Caenorhabditis elegans: one gene and its partners. The protein of the gene in region 4 purifies or fractionates together with the protein of the main gene of each other region. This does not show direct contact. Each region holds a gene or a part of one and is shown on either strand. Other genes may lie near its edges. The genes, in order: irg-7, K12H4.7, nspg-9 and nspg-7.1.

Region 1 (4,859 bases), on a different chromosome or scaffold from region 4:
TAGGATGAACGGCAGCACAGAACATAGTTCCGGCACGTTGAAGAGCCATGTCATTATTATCACGAGCAAAGAAATTGAAGTAAAGAACTTCTTCTGGAACACGGCAAGTGAATGGTGGGAAGTAGAAGTTGAATTCACAGGCATCTCTGTACATTCCACTTGATCCGTAAACCTCGGTTTGAACTCCGTCACGAATAGCATAAATCTGAAGATTGGCATGCACACGGTCCATTGAGAGGAACTGAGGGTAGTTGGTAACATGGAAAACTGGAGATGAATCAAATCCAAGAACTGGCTGACGTAGAACTCCTGCTGCCGAAGTAAGAGTAGAAGCGAATGACCAGAAAATATCATAGTCGGGGCTGTATTGAGTTTGTCCGCCAAAGTTGAACTTCTTCTGATAAACCTTAAACGTGCAAGCTGCTTCTGGTTCAAGTGATCTGATAGAGAAGAACCATTGACCAGCAACTGGCGAGTTATACGTCCAAACATAGTTCACACCATCAGAAAAGGCGGTGTTGAAAGTTGGATACTGTCCTGTTGGGCTTGTCACAACTAGAGTCAAATTTGTTCCAGTGGCTACAATTGTAACGTAGTCAACGCTAAGATCAAAGGCAGCTGACTTGTACAGATTCTGGCTGGAGCAGTGTGAGTAATCTCCGGAAAGAACAAGTTGGGATCGGAACAAGGTGTTAAGCATGTGTCGGTAGAAGAACTATAAAAGTTAATTGATATGGGAGATATAAAGTGAAGTGACTTACGGTCGAAATAGTGCTTCTGTCGCTGAAATAGAAAGTGTTACCACTTGAACGAGCAGCCATGTCCACCATATCTCTATATGCAGAGTTATCTGGAGATGAGTTACATCCATCGGCTGGAGATGGTTGAACGTAAATGAAGTAGATCTGAAATTTAAATAGAGTCAACATTATTTGCTTTCATGTTATTTACCGGTGCTCTCCAATAAGATTCCAGATGGAACACAGTTTCCTTCTCAGCACTATCATTTGGAGTGGCGTCCGTAATCACATAGATCGGGGATTTGTTTGTTGGATAGAGAGAAAGTGCAGATCTGTAATGAATTAGCATTTTTAAACATTATTACATACCAGTGAACTTACGCAACAGCAGACATGACAACATCATCACATCCTCCTTCGCTTGGAGCGGAATGGATAGCTTTTGTAAGATCGACCATTGCAGCGTCCCATGAATCATATTGTCTGTTCACCAAGAGCTCTGAAATAATACACTTTCATGTCAAATATGTTTTAGATCAAAACTCACTTCCGTTATCAAAAAGAACAACAATGAACTTTGATAGATATCCAGGTTCACTAGCGAGAAGATCAACAATACTTTGAACAGACTCAGTTGCTTGTTCAATAACTGCAGAGAGCTGGCTTCTTGATCGGATGACAAGGGTGAGAGTTGGGTTTTCAGCGTTGAAGTCAAAGCCTGACATGTCGGTACACAAGACTGCAAAGTTATTATGTTTTAACAGATAATTTTTACTAGTGCATACTATTCTGGCAATGGAAGCCACTGAATCCTTCTGGGCATTGACAACGGTCACTGGTTGGAGTCGGCAAGAAACCTTAATAGTTATTATAAAAAATATATAATTTCAAGGATGAATTGTACCTCCGTTAGCACAGAGCATTTGCGAGCAAGTACTTCCAGAGTAAAGTCCAAAGCAATAACAATATGCAACTCCATTAGAGTCAGTAAGCAACTGCCCTCCGTTTTGACAAGAAGTTATCGGTGCTGCAGGTGTTGTCGGGACAGCGGGGGTAGTAGTTGTTACTGGTGGTACTGAAAAGGTACTTTTTCTTAAAAGTCTTATATAAACTTCTTATATACACTACAAAGAAACTCACAGACGCATTGGTAAGGAACAATACGACGGAACTTGTAGCCAGAGTTAGTCACACCCTCCACCTGAAAACAAAAATTTGAATGTTTAGCACCTTTGGTTCAATCGAACTTGAATGAGATTGTGTCCAGCATCGTTATTGCTGGTTTTTCTGCAAGTGTATCTCTCCAAGATGTATGGATAAGTACAGTTGAAACGGGTTGTCATTGGAATGTATCTTGAGATGTGGTTCTCGGCACCGGTAAATCCAATTGCTTGGATTTGACCAGGAAAGTCCAAACCTTGAGCATGAATTGCAACAACCGACTCAGTATCGAAATATGTAAACTTGAGATTTGGATAGTCACTACGCTCGGCTTGATCTCCTGAAGTGAATCCACCGGAAACATGAATGCTACTGCGGGATGACATCATCATTGTACAAAACTGCTCGCTGGTGTCGGCTCGTGGTCCAAGCATATATTGTCCGGGAGGCAGATGCAAATAATTTGCAGTGAACATTGTTGGAAGTTGAATGGATTCGTCTGGGAATATGAGATCTCCATTTTCAGCTTGAAGATAGAATGTTGGGTTCAATGCTGACGCCGTCTCGACTTCAATTTTGATATTCCGCATCGTCTCGTCAACGACGACGATGTATGATTCAGAGCAATTAGCCAGATTGTAAGCATCAATTGCAATGTCATCAAATCCGTCGTTGTTCGGAATGTACGGGTTGCGAGCAGAACAGAGGGCTGAAAAATTTCTGCGTCATGGAACATTTTAGAAATATAAATCTTAAAACTCACGATATTGGCAAGTTTCACCGGTGTACCCTGGCTTGTTGCATCCTCGAGTAGCCATTCCAGCCAAAACGTGTGGTTCAGCAATGGATCTTTTGGAAATATGATGGGTGTCCAACTGAAATTAAAAATTCGAATCGCACCTGTTTGCTAGACCTTACAAAAATAACCCTTTCTTCCATAGTCCTGTACTTTTGCTCTCTGACTGGCTCGAAAAACTGCTTCTGCGATGCCGGACTCCATGATCTCAAAACCGCGCGTATTCTGTCCTTGTGACTGAGCTCCTGCTCAGTCGCCAGGCAGATCACGGCCAGGGCCGCAATCAAAACCCAGTTCCTCATTTCTAAATAAAAAATATTAGTTTTTTTGGAAGCAAACTTGAAGGGGTATTATCAACAGCTTAAAATGAAAAAGAAGCACTGGAGTAATGCGACTAAAAGTACTATCAAGAAAACCTTATAGCAATCAAAGTCGTTAAATAAGAAAATGGGTTGGGCACGCTCGTAACATCGTGGCAACTTCTTATCTTTCAATGCTATGCATAAGGGCATAATAAAATTTTCCCCCGGGCTCTCCTGATTTTTCATGTTCTTGTTAACAATAAAACGCCTTACATTTTTATGAGTCAAAATTCAAAACATAAAATTTGCTCGGACAATAAAAGAACCTCGACATTTAGAATTCACAATCGAATTACCAGAGTTACCAAAAAACAAAAAGTCAATAGAATTGAAAATGATGATACATGAAATAAAGCATAGAAAAAATGGGAAATCTCAAACAGACATGGTTTTCATACGGGTAGGCACGGTTATGCTTGAAGATGGGAAAGAAGACAAAACAACCATGCTGGCAATTGTCAATGGCTAGAGATCCAACTTGCAGACCAGGCTTGGATGCCACCAGTCGCTATGATAAAAATAAAGTAATTTTGAAAAGGGAAACAGTTCAGATATTGTATATCAAAATGAGCTATTCTAGTTTAGTGGCGGATTCGTTTGATGAGCAAGTAAGCGTCTCTTGGGCTAATACGATAGTAGTCCTCGATAATTCCGTCATTGGTGAAGCCATGCTTCTCATAGAATTGCACCGCATTTTTGTTGTTGACCTGGAAAATTACTTTTTTTCAGATCCACTTTTTTCTGGATACCTGCACATGTAAGTACATGGTCTTAATTTCTTCCATCTTATTGCACAATTTTAATGCGTAGTCGATGAGAATTGTACCAATACCGATTCTGAAATAGCACATTTTATTACCTCGTAAAACGCCCTTGGTATAATAATTAACGCTATTAAAACCGTCATTTTCAGGTAGAACTGTACCAAAAAAACGTCATTGATAAGGTAAATTTGATCTGACTCAAAACTCACTGTCGGTAGGCGGCAAGGGTTCCAAGTGTCATGAGATACAACGACTTCTCGTCTGAAATATCGTCAATGCGACAGCACACGGCGCCCACGACGACATCGTTGTAGTAGGCAAGACGTCCAAGTTCTCCGCAATATCGAGCTTCCACATAGAACTTGTCGTTGTAGGCAATTGGGAAGACATCTTCATTGAGCTTTTTCAGTTGCTGAAATTATAGTAAATTGAAAAATCGAGTTTCGAGTTTTATGAAGTTCGTGTATTTTTTGTTGAGGTTTGAAAAACAAATAGGATTTCAGAAATCGCGTTTTACTGATGAAAATGGGAAGGCTAAATTAAATTTAAAAGGTGGAGGTTAAAATCATCTGTTTGGTTCAAGAGTGAGTGAAGACCTTCAGCAAACTTTGAGTGTGCTTCAGCAAACTTTGAGTTCAACTACTTGTCTGACATGCTCGGTAGGCTACAACGTATTTTAACAGCTCATTCTATGCCAATTTACACAATTTTCACAGGTACAGAATACAGGGCAATGTTGAAAGCTTCAAAAATGAACAGCAAAGTCGGCCTAGGTTTGCTTTTTTAGCCATTCACAGAATATATATAAATCGGAACAGAATTTTATTGAGTGGGCTCACATTCACTGCGTGCAAGAGTAATATTCAATTTTTTAAGACGCAAAAATTAAGGCTACATCATATTCACATTGATCGAGAAAATATGGGTTTCATTTAATATTATGAATTCTAGTTCGTTTCATAACATACATTTCCTTCAACAAATTAATAAATTCTCACCAAAATGTTGTGCGGCGTAATTTCTCCCAAATGAACTG
Region 2 (5,103 bases), on a different chromosome or scaffold from region 4:
AGAGAATGTGGTCGGAGCTTTGACTGATCAAAGAGCAAAAGATGTATTTGTTGTAAAATCAGAAGAAACAGAAATGACACCGTATACACATAAGGTAATTAATCCTCGTAATTCAGTAAGGAGAAAATTAATCTCATATTTTCAGATAATTTGCTCAGCATTCAATTCGCGACAAGCTTCAGCAATTTCTGAAAATCTTCGATCTCTTCTAAAAATTGACGGAGTGTCGAATGGATCCATGTCACATGCACGAAGGAGCACAAAACGAAGCAATGGATGGTATGTCAGTGAGGTGGAAAGAGTTCAGGTATTACTTCCTACATATTATATTTTTTAATGCCTATACTTCAGGTGCACGTAATGAGTGAAGAATGCCGTGAGAAGTACGATTTGGAAGCAATTTGGGCTGGCGATGATCGGATCTTAGACGAGATTGATGAGGAGAAACAGAAGATTTTGCTGCCACCGAGACGATAATGTTTTCCTTTTGTTATTTATAACATTTAGATTATTGTTATTATTTTTGTAATATCGTTGATATGAAATATTAGAGTCAAATTTTCATTTCTATAACATAAAATCCATAACAATTAATTAGCATGAAGCCATCCATCAAGAACATCCGAGATTCTTTGGCGGGCGTTTGTCAAGTACATACTATCCAAGCTGGATGCTCCGTACATGTCAGCACAATGGGCGGTTCCTGGAATTAATGTAATTATACTATTTTTGTACATAAAGTTCAAGATTACCATTGATCACAACTGGCACAATATTGCTGTTCGAGCTTGTCAATTTTCCAAGTGCATGCCATGGATCAATATCTCCATTTGGTAGAAGAATTCTGTCAGTGTTCAAATTATCTCTTCCTCCATAATATTGATTAGTGTAATCTACAGATGTCTGAACTTCTTGACTATTGTATGCAGCTCCATAGATAGCAGTACATTCATCAATATAATATTGAGCTGGAAGATTGCTTACACCTCCGAACCATGGTCCAGCAGTAGCTGATGAAGTTGATTGATAATATCCGAACTCAGTGCAAGTCTGCCAAACCCATGCTCTGTCAGATTGAGCCTCTCCGAATGTTTCATCTTTCATGAAAGAAATGAAACCATTGTAATCAATATCATTGCATCCGAAATATCCACTGACTTGGTTAAAATAGTCATTGACTTGTTTCAATTTCTGAAGTGGTGTTGATTTAGTGTTAATGTGATAACGGCAAATGGCATGAGAAATTGTGAGTTGAGTGGCAAACGATCCAGCGGCATCACCAGAATATTGAACAACCTCCATGTATGGAGAATATACTGTTTCCCAGAAATACTTGAGTGATTTATCGTCCATTTGAATGTCTTGGCAGAGACTGAAAAATTGTTGCTTATTTTACAATATATATTTCAATTTGACGCATTGAATGAACACGCCAAGTTATACGCACTTCTCAAAACATTTGTGACTAGAATAGCTGACAAAGGAACTATGTAGAGACTGGAACTTCCAGAGAAAAGTTTCAAAAAAGTTAGAGCGGTTAATTCAGTTTGAAACGCGCAGGAATGGGGGGAATACAGAAGGTTCACTCGAGGTTTTTGGCTTTGGCTAACTAGTAAGCATACATCATAATAAACTCACTGGAAAGCAGTTTTCAATTGTTTGCGTCCATCGGAAGTTTGAAGAAGAGAAGCAACCAAGTTGAATCCTTGGGTCACACTGGCGGCACACTCAGTTGAGTTACGGGTAATTGAGTTTTGTACAACCTCAAGATACTCTGAAATAGAAAGTAATTGGAAGTAAATTGCTGCGTATCTTTTTAACCTTTGAAGTCAACCTCGGCTTGAACTGGACCACTGGATCCAACAGCAGCATACACCAATTCTGGATGCTTTGCACGAGTCCATGCGGCCAAAGCTCCAGAGTAGGATCCTCCGAAAGTGACCCACTTGGCATTGGCCAATTGTGGGAACTTGGCGGTCATTGCCTTAATGAAAGCGGCGGCATCCTCAATAGCTTGGGCAGAAGACAAGTATTTCAGGTTTGGTACGGACATGTCGCTGGAAAACATTAATAATAGGGAGTTATTTCGTAAAAAGAAATACCTGGTTGGGTGAGTCTCTCCATAGAATCTGTGCTCAATATCAAAGACCCAGGCTCCTTGTTTGGCAGCCAAGTTGGTGATTTCAAGTCCAGCTTTAAAAATAAAATGTCTTGTATGATAAAAAAGTAAACTAACGATAAGAAACCCAATAACTAGACTCTGGTCCTTCTCCTCCAAGCATCAAGAAAGCTGGTCCTCCAGCCTTGTACCATTGGTTGTTATGATAATATCTCTGCTGGAAAGTCTTTCCGACGGAAGAATCAAAATGATCAAGAGTTTGAGTGAAAGTAGATGAGACTACATTGTCAAAGTTGATCATATGAGAAACGGAAGACATCTGGAATAGACTTTTTTTGTTCTGTACATTGGATGTTTGAACACTTACTGGTGGAGTCTTCTTCATTCCTCCACGTGGACGTCCACGGATCATGTTACGACGAACACGCTGCTCATTGCTTGGAGCAGACAATACCTGGGTCAGCACACATGCTGAAATGTTAAGTTATTCAGTGTGAAACTACAGAAACTATGGTAAACATAGAACTGAACTTAAAATTTATTAATTCGATGGTAAATAATGTTATCAGTTTTGAAACCTTAGTTTTTAGACAGTTGCTCGTCTCGATAAAAATGAATCCACGAATTATAAATTTTGTGTATTTCGTTGTAAAGATTAGTAGAAAATTCTTTTGAAAGATTCAACAATACAACATTTGAGAACATTGGCTAGACTAGATCTAGGTCTAGATAGAGTATATTCCCGTCGAAAACAGTTTCCAGATTCCTTATTTCCAGAAAAATATGTGAGACTTCATAATTTGTTTTTTTAGATTTTGAGTAATAAAAATATGTTCTGGCCATATAGCCTAATGGTCACGAATTTTAGAAAAAAACGACTCATGAAATTTACGGAACTGGCATTGAATCTGGGCAACTTCACTTTTAAGCTCCTCAAAGAGAAAGTAGCTACAGAAATTCTAAAACGATGTTTAAAATTAAATTTACCTGCCAGTAGCACTGCCAAAAGAGTCTTCATGTTTCCACTTTCTAGAATAAAAAGAAAAAGTGAAATAAAGCAAGAGTTTTCAGTTGATAAGCACCCACTTATACACTTTTCCTTATCAAATAATTTATCGCTGATTTGCGAGTTCAATTCCGTTTTCGCTATCACATTTAAATGATGATTTTACTGATTCGTGGCACAACTACATTCGAAATACTAAATCATCTTTTAGACTGACGTACTTGCAAACTGGGTTCTTAGTTTACAGGAATACTGGGCCAAAGTTTGAAAAATAAAATAACAAAGCCAATTTCAGAGAAACTGCAAAGATCAATAAAAAGTTGGAATTCGAAACGTTTAATTGTTTACTGGAACTATCAAATTGAATATAATCTTTTCAAAAATAAAATTTCCATATTCATAACATCATACCTAAGCATTTTCTGTCAGGATATGGAAGAAAATAAAAGGAAAAGTTGGTTGAATAAATAAATTACTAATAGAGGAAATACGGTATTCTTCGAAAAACACTTGCAACAAGCCAGTCATCATTTCAAATTTTTTTAAAATTCCGTTTCTCCATTCCATCATTTTCCATAAATATGTGCACTGAACTGTTTTACCTGCTCTCACTTGACTTCTTCTTCTATTCTACCTTCTTCAATCTTATTTCTTTTCCGTTGTTCGCAAACACTAGCCACATCACGCCTCCCGGTTGAGGAGATGAGAGGTAGGTGCTCATCTATTCAATACTCCGTTTTTCAAGTTTTAAATCGAGACATTTGTTCAAAATTGGTGAATTAAGGTCTCGCTATGTTCTCGCAAGTTCCAATTTTTATTGATTTGATTTCTCATCACGATCGTAGGTGCTAAAAATTTGTCAAGAATTCTCACAGAAATCTAAACTCTAAAAATATTATTTCCCTCTATAATTTGCTAGCTTTCAAACGTTTATTTCTACATATTGAATTTAATTCTAAATTTCCAAATTACGTGAATGCTGCCTAAAGTCTCGATTACGCAATAGTTACATAACCAAAGATGTGTCTTGACACTCCTTCAACTTTTTTTCCCAAAATTCTCGAGGTAAAAAAGTGAAAAAAAGGGCAGTTAGAGACCACCTGGGTGTTGATGCAAGTCTTGCGTTGTGTCTTTTTTATACATTGAAATTTGGAAAAAAAATGCTTGAGAAATGAAATTATGGTAGAATACGGTAGAACTTGTATTTCCAAACTGTGAACGTGATGCATTTCTTGTTGGAATCCTTAGAGAATACGATATATTAGCAAACATCAAGAATCTTCCATTTTCCTTTTTCTTTCAAACTTTCGATTCCGTTAGCCATAACTTGCAATACGAGACAGTTCAAAAAGAGAAAAAACATTGAAAAACCATAGCATCTTCATAAAAAGTGCAATTAAATATATTGAGTAACCGTCTAAATGGTCATCTAGTTTTGTTCCGCCGTCACGCAACTATTAAATTCTCCATCTTTAGCCAATTATTATTATTCTTGGGTGTTATGCAACTTTTCTATTCGTACAGATTTTTCTTCATTTGGTTTTGGTTTTTAATATTCTTTTTTTTTGTTTTTTAACGTGTTAAAAAATTGTGAAAATGATTACAAAATATCAAACTAAATATTTTCCAATTTCGAAAAAATCCACACACATGTATTTATCGAATTCTATTCAAACATAAATTTCCCACTATTTTTTTGTCCAAAACAGAAAGAGTGGAATGTGTAAGATACAACTCAGTTTTTCACAAGTATCCAATCCAATTATGTGCACAGTCTCGAGTTTTAATGGTATGGGAACTTGGGATTTGAGATAATAAAAATAGTTGGTTACGGTGGTTGATGAGAATTTTTATTTGTTGCTGCATTGAGACTAAGAGAGTTGGATATCACGTGATTTCTCAATTTTCATAATTATCTACTATTGTATAAGTTGCTGGAAAATTTTTGACAAAATAATTGTTTTATGAACACTTACCG
Region 3 (7,682 bases), 5.1 Mb from region 4:
CAGGTTAATTTATTTTCAATATTCGATGGCTATGTGGACTATTTAGAGCTTAACTTGAATATATAAAATTTACAATAAAGAAAATGCGCTCCACTGAACGAATATTATTTTTTCGCAACAAAAAATTTTGATTGAACATTTCAAGTTTAGTATCTTTGTGCAAAAAACTACGAAAATTAGACAATTAGTTTAATTTGAAAAGTAATTTATGCGAAAAATTATATTCTGTTTCATATTATTTTCAAACTGTCAAGTTATTTTTTATTATTGGTTATTCAATAAGAATCCTTTTATGTAAAATCATTGTAACAAAATTCAAAAACCATAAAATTTATTTCAACGAGACACTACATTTACCGAAAGTCTATTTGCTCATTAAGAAAGGGGCGGAACCTTGTAAACTCCGCCTACAAAATGGACATAGATTAATTTTGTTTTAGACATGTTTTGCCGATTACTTAAGATGTAAAATTTCGGTTTTTAAAAAAAAAAATTATCGACTGTTTCAACTTGCTTTTGAAACTTCAAAATTTTTTTTCCAATATTCTAGCCGATTCTTCTGCATTCGAAATTGCGTAAACTTTAGTCTATTTGAGAAAAAACTACGAAAATTATACATTTTCGAATTATTAAAAAATTAATTTGAGCGACAACTCAGTCAAACCATTAGTGATCCAATTAGATAAAAACCATTTTAAATTTGGCACATTACTAACAAGCATTACTAATTTGAAATACCAAACTGTATTTTATTTCCCCCATGCTAAATTAGTTTTTCATTTCTAATTCAATTAAATTAGAAAAGTCATTTTAAATTAGAATTTGTACCCTTCTAATTATGACTGTGTTAACTTTGCTCGAAATCTAATTAAAAATGTTTTTTTTTACAATTAGATCACTAACGGTTTGACTGAGAAAAAAGTCTGTTTCATATTATTCTCAAATTGTCAAGTGATTTTTTGTTATTGGTTGTTCGTGTTTACCAACCAGCCGTTGACCGCGCCTACGGCGCGGGCACCTACCAACAGTACCCCCCCCCCCCACAGTACCACTACAGTACCTTGACATTATTCTCCACTAACTCCTATATCAACACCTCTTCAAAATGTTTTCAATAAATTGAAGTTTGAATTCCCGCCAAAATGATTTCAAAAAAATTTAAATTCGAACTTCGCGGCAAAATATTTATTTCCAGCAATTTCCCACCGAAAGTTTTAAGGGTCTCACCATGATGGGTCTAACCACGATAGGTCTCGCCACAAACATTCAGAATTTTCTCGAGTTTTTCAAAAGATTCTGGAACAATCCAAAATTTTCTCGAATTTTCGAGAAGGTTCTAGAACAATCCAGAATTTTCCCCAATTTTCCTGATGATTCAAGAAGATTCCAGAACTTTCCCAAATTTCCAAGAAGGTTCTGGAACATTCCAGAATTTTCTCCAATTTTCCAGAGTGTTCTAAAGTATTCCACAATAATATTATTAAAACATTTAAATTTGAATTCCCGTCAAAATGTTTTCGGAAAATTTCAATTTGAATTCCCGCCAAAATGTTTTCGAAAAATTGTTTATTTTTCTAAAACTACAGTACTACTACAGTACCCCGACCATATCCCCCTTCTAACCCCAAACCAATATCTCTCAAACATCTCAAAACGCATTGCCTCTTTAAGCTGTGACGTCACAGACTACAAAGACTACATAGACTACAAACTATGGACACACGGAATAAGTGCCAAAATGATTTTAAAAAATTAAAATTTGAATTCCCGCCAAAATGTTTTAGAAAAATTAAAATTTGAATTCCCGCCAAAATGTTTTCGGAAAGTGTCGAGTGGTTTATCGCGTACCTCGATCGATGTCGGGTGCGCATTCATCATAAGTAGCCTCAAAATTTTCTCAGTTGAATTTTTGCGCTGAATGTTGTGACGTCACCCGTGACGTCAGAGACAAACGGAATAGCGCTTTATATATGGTAATGATGTTATTACAGAACTTTAAAAAAAATTAAAATTCAACGAATAACTGCATTTACCACAAAATTTACTTGCTCTGAGAGAAAAGGGCGGAGCATCGCAAGCCACGCCTACAAACTGGACATAGGTACACTAATTTACTTTTTGACAAGTTTTATGGTAACACTTCTTCAACTTTTTTGAAAAATTTCTAGTGTTTCAATGTGTTTTCAAATCTTCGAGTTAATTTTTTTTGAGTTAGTCGCAGTAGGATATTAATAAACATAGTTTTGCGACAAAGCTCCATTGGATTGATTGAACATCTCAAATTTAGTATCGTTGTGCAAAAAACAACGAAAATTAGATAGTTAAATAGTTTAATTTGAAAATTAATTTATACGAAAAATTATTTTCTGTTTCATATTATTTTCAGATTGTCTAGTTTATTATTTTTATTATTTCTTGAATAAAAAATCAATTTATCTAAAATCAATGTAACAAAATTCGAAAACCATTAAATTCATTTCAACGAGATACTAGATTTACAGAATTTCCGAAATTCATTTAAAATTTCATTTTTTTATAAAATTTAAAATTCAATACTTTTTTCCAAAAAAAAAAATTTTACTGTTTCAATTTGCTGTGAAAACTCCAAGTTTATTTTTTCAATAATATTATTTAACTCAAATACTTCAAATTTCCAATAACTTTTAATGTGGTAAACTGCTAATATCTGTTCGAAAAATAGATTTCGCACTACATTTCAATGTAAAACTCAAAAAAATCCCCAAATTTTTCTACATTTTCCCCTCAAAATTCCAAAAAAAAAAACCCAACTATTAATTCCTGGGCCACAGTTGAAGGACGAGTATTGTCTATAGGTTGCCTCCACCGCGTAAGCCTGCAATTTTCGAAGATTTTCTTCTCATTTTTCTTGGCTTTCTGTGTGAAATACTTCTGTTTTTTTTTGTTTGAAAAAGACTAATTGCTGTTCCAATGTTCGTATTTTTAAATTCCAAAACTTACATTATTAATGTCAGTCTTCTTGATTAGGTTGTAAATGTCCAAACATCCACGGTTTCCGTGCATGCAGAGATTGAAAGTTTCGAGACTGCTGAAATTTTAGAAAATTGGAATTTTATTATTTTATGAGTGGAAAACAATTTTTAAAAACTGTATTATAATGTTTGTGAAACAGTAAAGTATTTTTTATAATTTTTGATTTTTCAGTGAGAATTTTCGATCTGTTTTAAAATATTTCCAATTGCATTTTTTGTTTTGAAAAATGCGCTTAAAGTCTGAAATAAACGTTGGATTACTAACTTTTCGGGAAATCGAATTGAATTTACAAAGTTAGTGAAATTGTACAGAACATTTTTTCCATTTAAAACATTAAAATTTTCTCAAACAGTTTCGAATTTGCAGTGCTCTTTCCTTTTATGTTGCATATAATTTAAAAAAAAATCGCTGTTTCAAATTTTTCAAAAAAATATTGGGACTTTCCAAATAACTAGTCACTCTCTTCAATAAACATTCGACTTTTAAAGGAATCATAATATGGAAAAAATGTTTGTTCTTCGAAAAATTACTGTTTGGTGTACTTTTTAATTGATATTTTCAACTTAAACATCGATAGAACAGATACTTCCTATAGTGTTTACAATTTAAAGCATTCACTCGAAAATTATGGAATTTGAGAGAACCATTTCTCACTATTACACGATTTCTAGTTACAATTAAACTTTATTAAAAACATAATTCTAGGGTGTGTTAAAAAATTGGAAAAAAAAAATGCTCCAAGTTCTCTATTTCAAACTGTTAAAAATATTCAAAGAAGTAAATACTGTTTTTTCAAAACCGGTCTTGTTTGTTTTCTATAATTTCCAACAAACATTGTTTCAAAGTTTTGTTAAAAATTCTGAATTTTCAAATGTCTCGTTGGGCTGTTGGACATGTAGAAAAAATTACAAAATTACTTTTTTAATCGAAAAGTTACTGTTTCACAAAGTATTAAAATCAATATTCTTCCTAACTTCAACATTGATAAATTTTCAAGACTAACTTGCAAACGGTCAACATATCGGCAGTCTGTCCTGGATTTCTTCCGAACATGTACAGGAAGTAGTTGTACATGATAGTATAGTCCTTGAACAATTGAGCAGATACCGTATCATTGAGCCCGAGGCTTTGAGCCATATTGTACTGGCAAGCTTGGAATTTTGCGTCGACGCATGTTGGAGGAGTTTGAGCAGAAATTTGGGTAGAAGCCAAGAGGGCAAGGGCTGAAAATTTGAAGTTTTTAGATTCATAAAGTTGGAGGAAAATTTTTTTTGAGGTTGGAAAATTTTCGTACTTCAAATTCAAAAAATTTTACATTTTTGGAAAATCGCCAAATAAGGAAAGTAAGAGCATTGCCCATTAGTTAGAAAATTTGTGACGTTTGTGATATGTATTATTTTTCACTTCTTGCGTATTTTCATTCATTCAAGAAAAAAAACGAGAAAAATTATAAAACCAAAGAAAAAAAAGAACCAAGATATGGGCGGAGTCTATTTCTTGAAAATTTTTGTTTTTTTAAGGTTGAGTAGTAGTCACAATTTTACATAAATTCAAGTATAGAAAAAGCAGAGCTAAAGTTTTTAAAATTTCAAGAAAATGTAATTATAGACCCCTTCCACATCTTGGTTGTTTGGGCAATTTTGTATTGCAATTTTTGCGGTAAAATAAAATTTTACTAATTGTAAAATAAGTGTGTGTAATAGAACTTACATCTTGTTTACTTAAATTTGGAAAAAAATTCCTGTTTCACTATTGTGATTTCGAAAAACCAATATGTTCTCCAATGTATCGCTGATAAAAGTACCTCTAATTATAAAAAAGTTTCTGAGATTTTTATATTCTAATTTAGTTTCAAATACTTGTAGCTAAACAGTTTAGGAGCCAAAAAATGCAAAATTTGCTTCAAAAATTTTGCATAAGCGCAGATTAAAACAAAAACCGATAATTCGTCGAAAACTTTGGCATCACATTTCGAAGCTCTAAAATTACTTGGAGTGTTTTTTCCATTAGATAAGTGTTCATATTGAATCAAAGTCCCCACTTAATCTATATTCACAGTTTGCTAATTTAATTTCATGTTAATTCAATTTTCTTCGAGTGAAAATTGAATTAAAATCAAAACCTTGAAGCTCAAAACAATGGTATGAAACAAAATTTTTTAAAACAAACTTTTAAATTCAGAGCCAAAATACAAGAAGCTAAGATATGGGTGGAGTATATTTTTTCAAAATTGAATTCAAGACAAAAATAGATTCACACTTTTAAAAAGTACCAAGAAAACTTCATATTAAACTCCGCCCACATCTTGGCTGTTTGGTTGATTTTGCTTTTTTTTTGTCAGTCGTAGATGTTATTTCTAGAAGAACTGTGCTCAAAAGAGTAATACAACCAGAGATTGATAGACCTTATTGAATTAAAAATTTAAATTGGAAAAAAAATCCTGTTTCACAATAGTGATTTAAAAATTCAAATTTTTTTAGTAGCGCTGGAAATGTGACAATAGCTAAATAGGAAAAATGTTAAAAACCTCTAATTCAAGGCTAAAAAAAATCAAATATCATGAATTATTACTCAGTTTTTGCCGTTAAAAATTTTGTAAGTTGACCAAAAAAGAAAAATCTCAAAATTTTTCGAAGATTCTAATTTTTTTCAGAACATTGACAGAACACTTTTAAAGCTCTAAAATTCAATATTTTAACGATACAAACTATGGAAACGGTTCAAAATATTTAAATATTTCATTTGAGTTGAAAACAATGATATGAAACAGACAATGTTTTAAATAAACATTTTCGAATTTTTAAAAATATTTTTTTCCGTTTCAAAAAATTAATATTCTTCTATCTTTTTTTTTATTTTCCAATATACAACAAAAATTTGCTCACCTAGAACCACAAATCCTTTCATTTCGACGAGCTTCTTCTCGGTAACTATTCTAATTCAAATAGCAAAACCAAGTGTCAACCAATTCTTCGTGGCACTTTTACATCTTATCAGACTCCCAATTCCCCAATAAAATCCTTATCAAGGTGTCGGCACACATGCGAGAGCCAACACAAATGGCATTAAAAAGTGGCAGAATTTCCGAAATGACGATTTGGGGTTGGGAGTATGGGTGTGGTTGTTTTCTGTTAATTTCTCAAAAAGAACTACACTTCATAAAAGAACTACACTTTTATGAACTTTTAGAAACAGTGACACTAAATTTCGAAAAAAATTAGGTGATATTCTTGGGGATTGTGCTAGAAATTACTTACATGGTCATAGGAATCTTAAATTAAAAGCTTCAAATCTTAAATGCAAATTGGAACTTTAAATAGGTGCAAAATTCGTTTTGACGTTCCAATTTCACTCACTATCAGAGAATTTACTGTTTCGAAATCTTCAGAAACAGAAAAGCTTTTGTTTGTTAGAAATATACACCAGAGTGAACATTATGTGCCTATTGCCAATAAGTTGCATGAAACTCTTTCAAAATTTGCTGAAACAGTGAAGAATTTATAAAGTCTCAACGGTATGTTTCGGTAGTTTTATATTCATCGCATGTGAGATTATAATTGCAACATTTTTTATTACCTCTGTTTAATAACATGCTGAAACGGTAAAAACTTACATCTCGCCGAGATAATAACGCGCCTCTAAGACGACAAAAAAATAAAAAATATTTTGCTAGGAGAAACGTGTCGAAAATCTTTGAAAAACTCGATTTTTGCACAGCCTAGACACTTTTTGATTGACAATTGAACACGAAAGGATGACTAAGTGAAAATTAGAACTACAACTTTATGAACTTTTAGAAACAGTGGCACTGAATTTCGAAACAAAATTAGGTGCTCTTCTTGGGGATTGCGCTAGAAATTACCTATGTTTTCGTAGGAATTTCAAATTAAAATCTGAAAATCTTAAATGCAAATTGGAACTTTAAATAGGTGCAAAATTCGTTTTGACGTTCCGATTTCACTCACTATCAGCATTGGGAATTTACTGTTTCGAAATATTCAGAAACATAAAAGCTTTTGTCTGTTGAAAATATACACCAAAGTGACCACTAAAGTGACATTAAATTGCATGGAACTCTTTAAAAATTCGCTGAAACAGTGAAGAATTTATACAGTCTCAACGGCCTGTTCTGGCGAGTTTTATAGAACACATGAAGCAATAAAAAAGTTGTTTCATTACTTCTGTACAAGCTGAAACAGTGAACACTCACATCTTGCCTAGAAAACCTCTAAAAGCCGAAATTGCATGTTTTTTTAAATCAATTTGCAGGCAACAAAAAATTCAACATTATATTGATAGGATAAAAGTGTTGAACATCTTTGAAAAACTCGATTTTTGCACAGCCTAGACATTTTTTGATTGACTATTGAACAGAAAAAGATTACTAAGTAAAAATTAGAACTGCAACTTTATGAACTTTTAGAAACAGTGGCACTAAATTTCCAAAATTTGTACCTATACATATGTGTTAGAAATTAATGTTGTTGTAGGAATCTCAAACTAAATAAATATGTAATTGAGAAAAAAAATTACATTTCATAATTATATGTTTTCCCCGAGAAAGCGGAGCGAGTATCGTAGCGCCAGCTTAAAGGCGCATCGCCTTTAGTGTTCGATGGGTCTCGACGCGATGAAATCTTGCCTTGGCCGCAGCGGCGAATGGTCATCAT
Region 4 (4,187 bases):
GTCCGGAAGTCTTTATAACTTTTTCAATCGTTTATTTCTCGAAGCAAGAGAAACGATAGGATACATTTTATTCGCTATCATTATCAACAATATACTGTCTACGTGTGGGCAACTTATTAATGCCCTGCTAACAGTACCCTTCCGGGCGCGAGTCGAAATAATGCTTGAGTGCTACATTGGCACTTTTTTGGGTATTGAAGATTCTCCGCTCGTGGACACGGGTCATATTTGAAAACGACTAGTATTCAGATGGAGTGAGGTCTGGAGAATACGGTGCGTGAAGGAGAACCATCCATCCATGGCTGGTATGTTCCTACTTTTCCTGTTTCGAGAGGTGGGAACTAGCGTTGTTTTGCTGAAAACAGAATTGCTTGTCCATCAGGGGTGAACCATCGATGACTTCCTTCATGTTCCATGGTTAGATAACGTAGATGTCCCCACTAATCATTTTGCCCTCAGGCAGCAGTTCCCAGTAGAAAGGGCCCTACACTCCCCTCCACACTGAGAGCATGCCTTTTTTGGGGTGAAGGTCGGGTTTGGCGGCATCCTGTGGTGTCTCTCATTCTCCAATCCACTGAGCACGCTTGTGGTTGTTATCGTAGAGGACCCACTTCTCGTTACCAGTAATGAGTCGGCCCAACCATCGATCGGCCCCGTGGAAAATGAGGAGGGAAAAGGAATCACCCACTAAAAAATCAAGATTCGCCTGTGTCAAGGTGTGAGGTATGAATTGACCCATAAGTTTCTTTATTCCAAGAGGTTCCCAGCCTCGTACAATGTTGGTTTGACGGGACCCAAGTGTGGTTGACAGCTCACGGGTGATTTGGAAAGGATCCGTTGCCATGGCTTTCTGCAACGTGTCCAAATCCAATTTATGGGGTCTCAGAGTCTTCGAGAGAAAAGTCGTCCTTCTCGAAGCTTTGGAACCAATTGCGTATGATATTATAGTAGGGAACATGTGAATCATAAACATTCTTGAGGAGACTTTCCGAATCCTTCATCGTGGTATGAGAGAGGAAGAGGTACATCAAACCATATCGGATGTGGATCGCACTAGGGACATACATCGTTGGTTGACTAACTTCAGGCCAGAGGAAAGGGAATGAGGTGTTGCTTACAATGAAGTTCCTACTCTTGTTGTTATTCACTAGCAACGAGGGAATACCAAAGTGCAACTGTGGCGAGCGGTGGAAAAGCAAACCCAGTTATAAAGACTTCCGGACCAACCTAATAGAATTTCTGAAATTCCCAATAATGAATTAAAATCCACTTCATTATTATTATTACATCTCCATGAATTACGGACTTACTGTCAATGGTCCTGGCACGATTGAAAATTTCCCGCTACAGTACCCAAAATTTCTCAATGTTCTTTAATGTTTTTTTGGTTGTTATTTTTCTGGAAAACTTTTTAACTTCATGGAAATTATCAAAAATACGTCAAACATTATAAGAAAAATGACGCTCGAATTTGCAATTTCTGGACACTATATTTTGCAATTTATACTGGTCATTTTACTTATTTGTTCACACATCATTTTATTTATTTTTTAATCTTCCGGTGTAGCTCTTTCTTGTGACAAATAAACAATATTATATTATATTATCGTGTTTCCTCCCTTAGTCATTCAAATCTCCAAAAAAACATTAGTGTCACATACAACTGAGACTAAGTAAAGAAGAACCGGTTATTATTTTTGAAATCTAACTTCAAGCTGTCGCATTATTCAAAGTTCTATATTTATATCCAATAAAGCTTAAGAAAAAAAAAATTAAGATGACATCACCAATCCCCTTCAAAATTCTGCACTTACCGTCAATTTCCTCCCTGAACCTGAACGATATTATAAATTATTTAGAAAATGCGTACAATAGCATTGGCTCTTCTTGTACTTGTGGGAGTTTCCCAAGCAGCATTCCTTCTACCATATTCTCTTCCAAATGATCTTATTCAATTAATGGCTTTCCGTGAGACTCCTCAAAATGCTGCCATTTCTGCTTGTCAGGATATTCAATTCAATTATTGTCAGGTACATTTAATATATCCAATACACCTTTTACGGGTGCAAATTCGATAGCGGTTTGTAGAAAAATAAGTATTTGTATGTAATGAAAACTGATCATCAAAAATAAAATTATAGTTTCAATGAAAATTTTCTAGACAACGTTCAATCAGTTCTTTGGAATGGATGATTCTATTTCTTGGCGCAATGGATCTTACATTTTCAATACAGTTCAGAAATATTTGGAAATGAATGTTACAGAACTTATCAAGGTTTGCAAGTGAGTTGAAACATTGAATATTGTGGTATTGTGGTGATCTGTTAGGAAAAATTTATTTGTGAACGATCTTACTTTAAAAAATGTTATATCACTTCTGAAACTTTCGCCATTTGGTTTTATATGTGTCTATGTTAGCCATGATAATTATGTTCAATTTGTTAAATTTCAATTTCCTCGTCGTTTTTCACACTTAACATGTTCCACTATAACAGTTGAAAGTTTCATTGTCAAATTGACCGGGCATAAGACAAATTAATCATAGACTCATTTCTAGGCTTCATTGTTTATTACTGCTTACTACTGTTTAAATTTTAAATATTTAGTGAACTCATAAGTATTGCATGCTAATAAATTCAATAAATTCAAACATTCAAATCCAATGACACTTTCAGCACCCGTACTCAATTCTACCAATGCCTCGGATCTTCTTATTATACCTGTATGAATCTCTATACTCTTCTCAACAAGCCACAACCTGATTTCTCGAACAGTGAGTAAATTCATAGATATCGAGATTTTCGACCTGTCGTGAATGGCAATTCGAACGTACAACATTTTTTTCATATTATAATTGAAATTTATTTTTTAATGATTATATTTCAGCATTCGATTATGTTAGAACATTCCGTGGACTCGAGTGGATGTGCGTCGGAGGATTCTCTGGTAAGATTCACCAAAGACTTCTTTACCACTATTTTACTATTTCCAGAAGTAGTAAGCCAATGGGACTGTCTCGGTACTTTCCCAACTACAAATGCGTATAACTCTTGCATTCAAAACTTCAATCAAACAGTGTCTGCTGGAAACTTCTGCCCGTGAGTTATGAATAGTAAGAATACATCAAAAGTGGAATATGGTTAATGCATTTTGTTTTAAAATACTTAAAATGAAGAACAATTTGCGAAGGACTGAAAATTTCAATTTAAAAATTCGCGATTTCCCAATTTTTTACAAATCTCCCTGTTTGAATTATCTCCAAAGCAAATTCGCAATTTTACTCGTACTCCACCATTTGAACTATGTTTGGAAAAATACTATCTACTTTATTCAATTCAATTGTTCATATTCAGAGCAGTTCAACAAACTGGAAGCTGTTTGAATGACGCCTACAATGCCGCCTGTGGAGTCGGAGGAGTGAGTTTTAAAAATCTTCTGATACACAGAAAGGCAAAATAACAAAATTTAGAATTCAAAGTTGAAACTTTTCTGAAAAAAAGTTTAAATAATTGCAGGCTGGATACTTTGGATGTGAGAACTTCCGTATCACTTTCGACAACTCTTGCTGGGGACTCAGATGCATGGTTGATTCAACCAACTAATTCTTACTTTTCTATCAAGAACATTTAATATCTTTTTAAAGTTTAATATGATAAATTGGATTTGTTCGTTAAAAATGTTAAAATTTGAAGTTGTGGGTAATACTGGTCTGGAGTTTTCGCAACTATAATGAAACATCTTACTAAAAAGACTGAAACAAAAACAACTGTAATTATATAAATCTGTCCGAGGCGTCACAAAAGCGTCTCGCCTCTTTCCTATTTGCGTCATATCTGTTCTTTTCTATACTATTTGCTGCCACATCGACCTTAGAATTTATGACCTGAAGAAGTATATTTAAATCGAAAGAAAACAAATGCAAAAAAAGAAAAATAAGATTTTATTCGAATAATCAATTAATTTAGAACATTAAAAATCAAGTAGCACGCTTTCCACAAACAAATCCTCTGTACATGTCCTTCCAAGTAAGTGGACAAACTTGTGAAAGTATTTTCCATGTTCATAAGGGCTGGTTCCAGTTGAAGCCCAAATCCACATAAGAGCACAATTATGGGAATATCCGCTGGTTGGACCCAGTTGTGGTTCTCCCTTACTCCATTGAATACCTTGCTGACCTCCATCATTAT

Evidence for each region.
Region 1: the proteins of nspg-7.1 (region 4) and irg-7 fractionate together in Caenorhabditis elegans (co-fractionation; one large-scale study listed by BioGRID). This does not show direct contact.
Region 2: the proteins of nspg-7.1 (region 4) and K12H4.7 fractionate together in Caenorhabditis elegans (co-fractionation; one large-scale study listed by BioGRID). This does not show direct contact.
Region 3: the proteins of nspg-7.1 (region 4) and nspg-9 fractionate together in Caenorhabditis elegans (co-fractionation; one large-scale study listed by BioGRID). This does not show direct contact.

Annotation. Positions count from the first base shown.
Region 1 is NC_003284.9:3,240,626-3,245,484, forward strand, and holds the start of irg-7 (Protein irg-7), read right to left. Parts: upstream 3,012-4,859; 5' UTR 3,000-3,011; coding exon 2,820-2,999; intron 2,777-2,819; coding exon 2,665-2,776; intron 2,611-2,664; coding exon 1,988-2,610; intron 1,942-1,987; coding exon 1,881-1,941; intron 1,816-1,880; coding exon 1,645-1,815; intron 1,598-1,644; coding exon 1,526-1,597; intron 1,480-1,525; coding exon 1,288-1,479; intron 1,240-1,287; coding exon 1,122-1,239; intron 1,073-1,121; coding exon 952-1,072; intron 906-951; coding exon 762-905; intron 716-761; coding exon 1-715. Other genes in the region: F40F4.7 (N-terminal methionine N(alpha)-acetyltransferase NatE), read right to left, coding at 3,641-3,766, 3,809-3,896, 4,033-4,235, 4,822-4,859.
Region 2 is NC_003281.10:8,047,904-8,053,006, forward strand, and holds K12H4.7 (Putative serine protease K12H4.7), read right to left. Parts: upstream 3,179-5,103; 5' UTR 3,138-3,178; coding exon 3,107-3,137; intron 2,591-3,106; coding exon 2,487-2,590; intron 2,439-2,486; coding exon 2,237-2,438; intron 2,194-2,236; coding exon 2,103-2,193; intron 2,058-2,102; coding exon 1,822-2,057; intron 1,775-1,821; coding exon 1,639-1,774; intron 1,373-1,638; coding exon 753-1,372; intron 704-752; coding exon 591-703; 3' UTR 547-590; downstream 1-546. Other genes in the region: mals-1 (Mitochondrial Assembly of ribosomal Large Subunit), read left to right, coding at 1-94, 146-307, 352-477.
Region 3 is NC_003282.8:14,455,237-14,462,918, reverse strand, and holds the start of nspg-9 (DUF19 domain-containing protein), read right to left. Parts: upstream 6,020-7,682; 5' UTR 5,920-6,019; coding exon 5,898-5,919; intron 5,897-5,897; exon of another isoform or gene 5,876-5,896; intron 5,739-5,875; exon of another isoform or gene 5,717-5,738; intron 5,520-5,716; exon of another isoform or gene 5,499-5,519; intron 5,117-5,498; exon of another isoform or gene 5,096-5,116; intron 4,979-5,095; exon of another isoform or gene 4,955-4,978; intron 4,397-4,954; exon of another isoform or gene 4,372-4,396; intron 4,236-4,371; coding exon 4,016-4,235; exon of another isoform or gene 3,995-4,015; intron 3,914-3,994; exon of another isoform or gene 3,893-3,913; intron 3,812-3,892; exon of another isoform or gene 3,791-3,811; intron 3,733-3,790; exon of another isoform or gene 3,712-3,732; intron 3,608-3,711; exon of another isoform or gene 3,587-3,607; intron 3,493-3,586; exon of another isoform or gene 3,468-3,492; intron 3,272-3,467; exon of another isoform or gene 3,251-3,271; intron 3,106-3,250; exon of another isoform or gene 3,085-3,105; intron 3,068-3,084; coding exon 2,980-3,067; intron 2,855-2,979; coding exon 2,791-2,854; intron 2,650-2,790; exon of another isoform or gene 2,626-2,649; intron 2,434-2,625; exon of another isoform or gene 2,413-2,433; and 11 more.
Region 4 is NC_003282.8:9,328,528-9,332,714, reverse strand, and holds nspg-7.1 (DUF19 domain-containing protein), read left to right. Parts: upstream 1-1,859; 5' UTR 1,860-1,862; coding exon 1,863-2,030; intron 2,031-2,161; coding exon 2,162-2,283; intron 2,284-2,675; coding exon 2,676-2,773; intron 2,774-2,886; coding exon 2,887-2,946; intron 2,947-2,992; coding exon 2,993-3,098; intron 3,099-3,353; coding exon 3,354-3,417; intron 3,418-3,515; coding exon 3,516-3,602; 3' UTR 3,603-3,675; downstream 3,676-4,187. Other genes in the region: clec-183 (C-type lectin domain-containing protein), read right to left, coding at 3,970-4,187.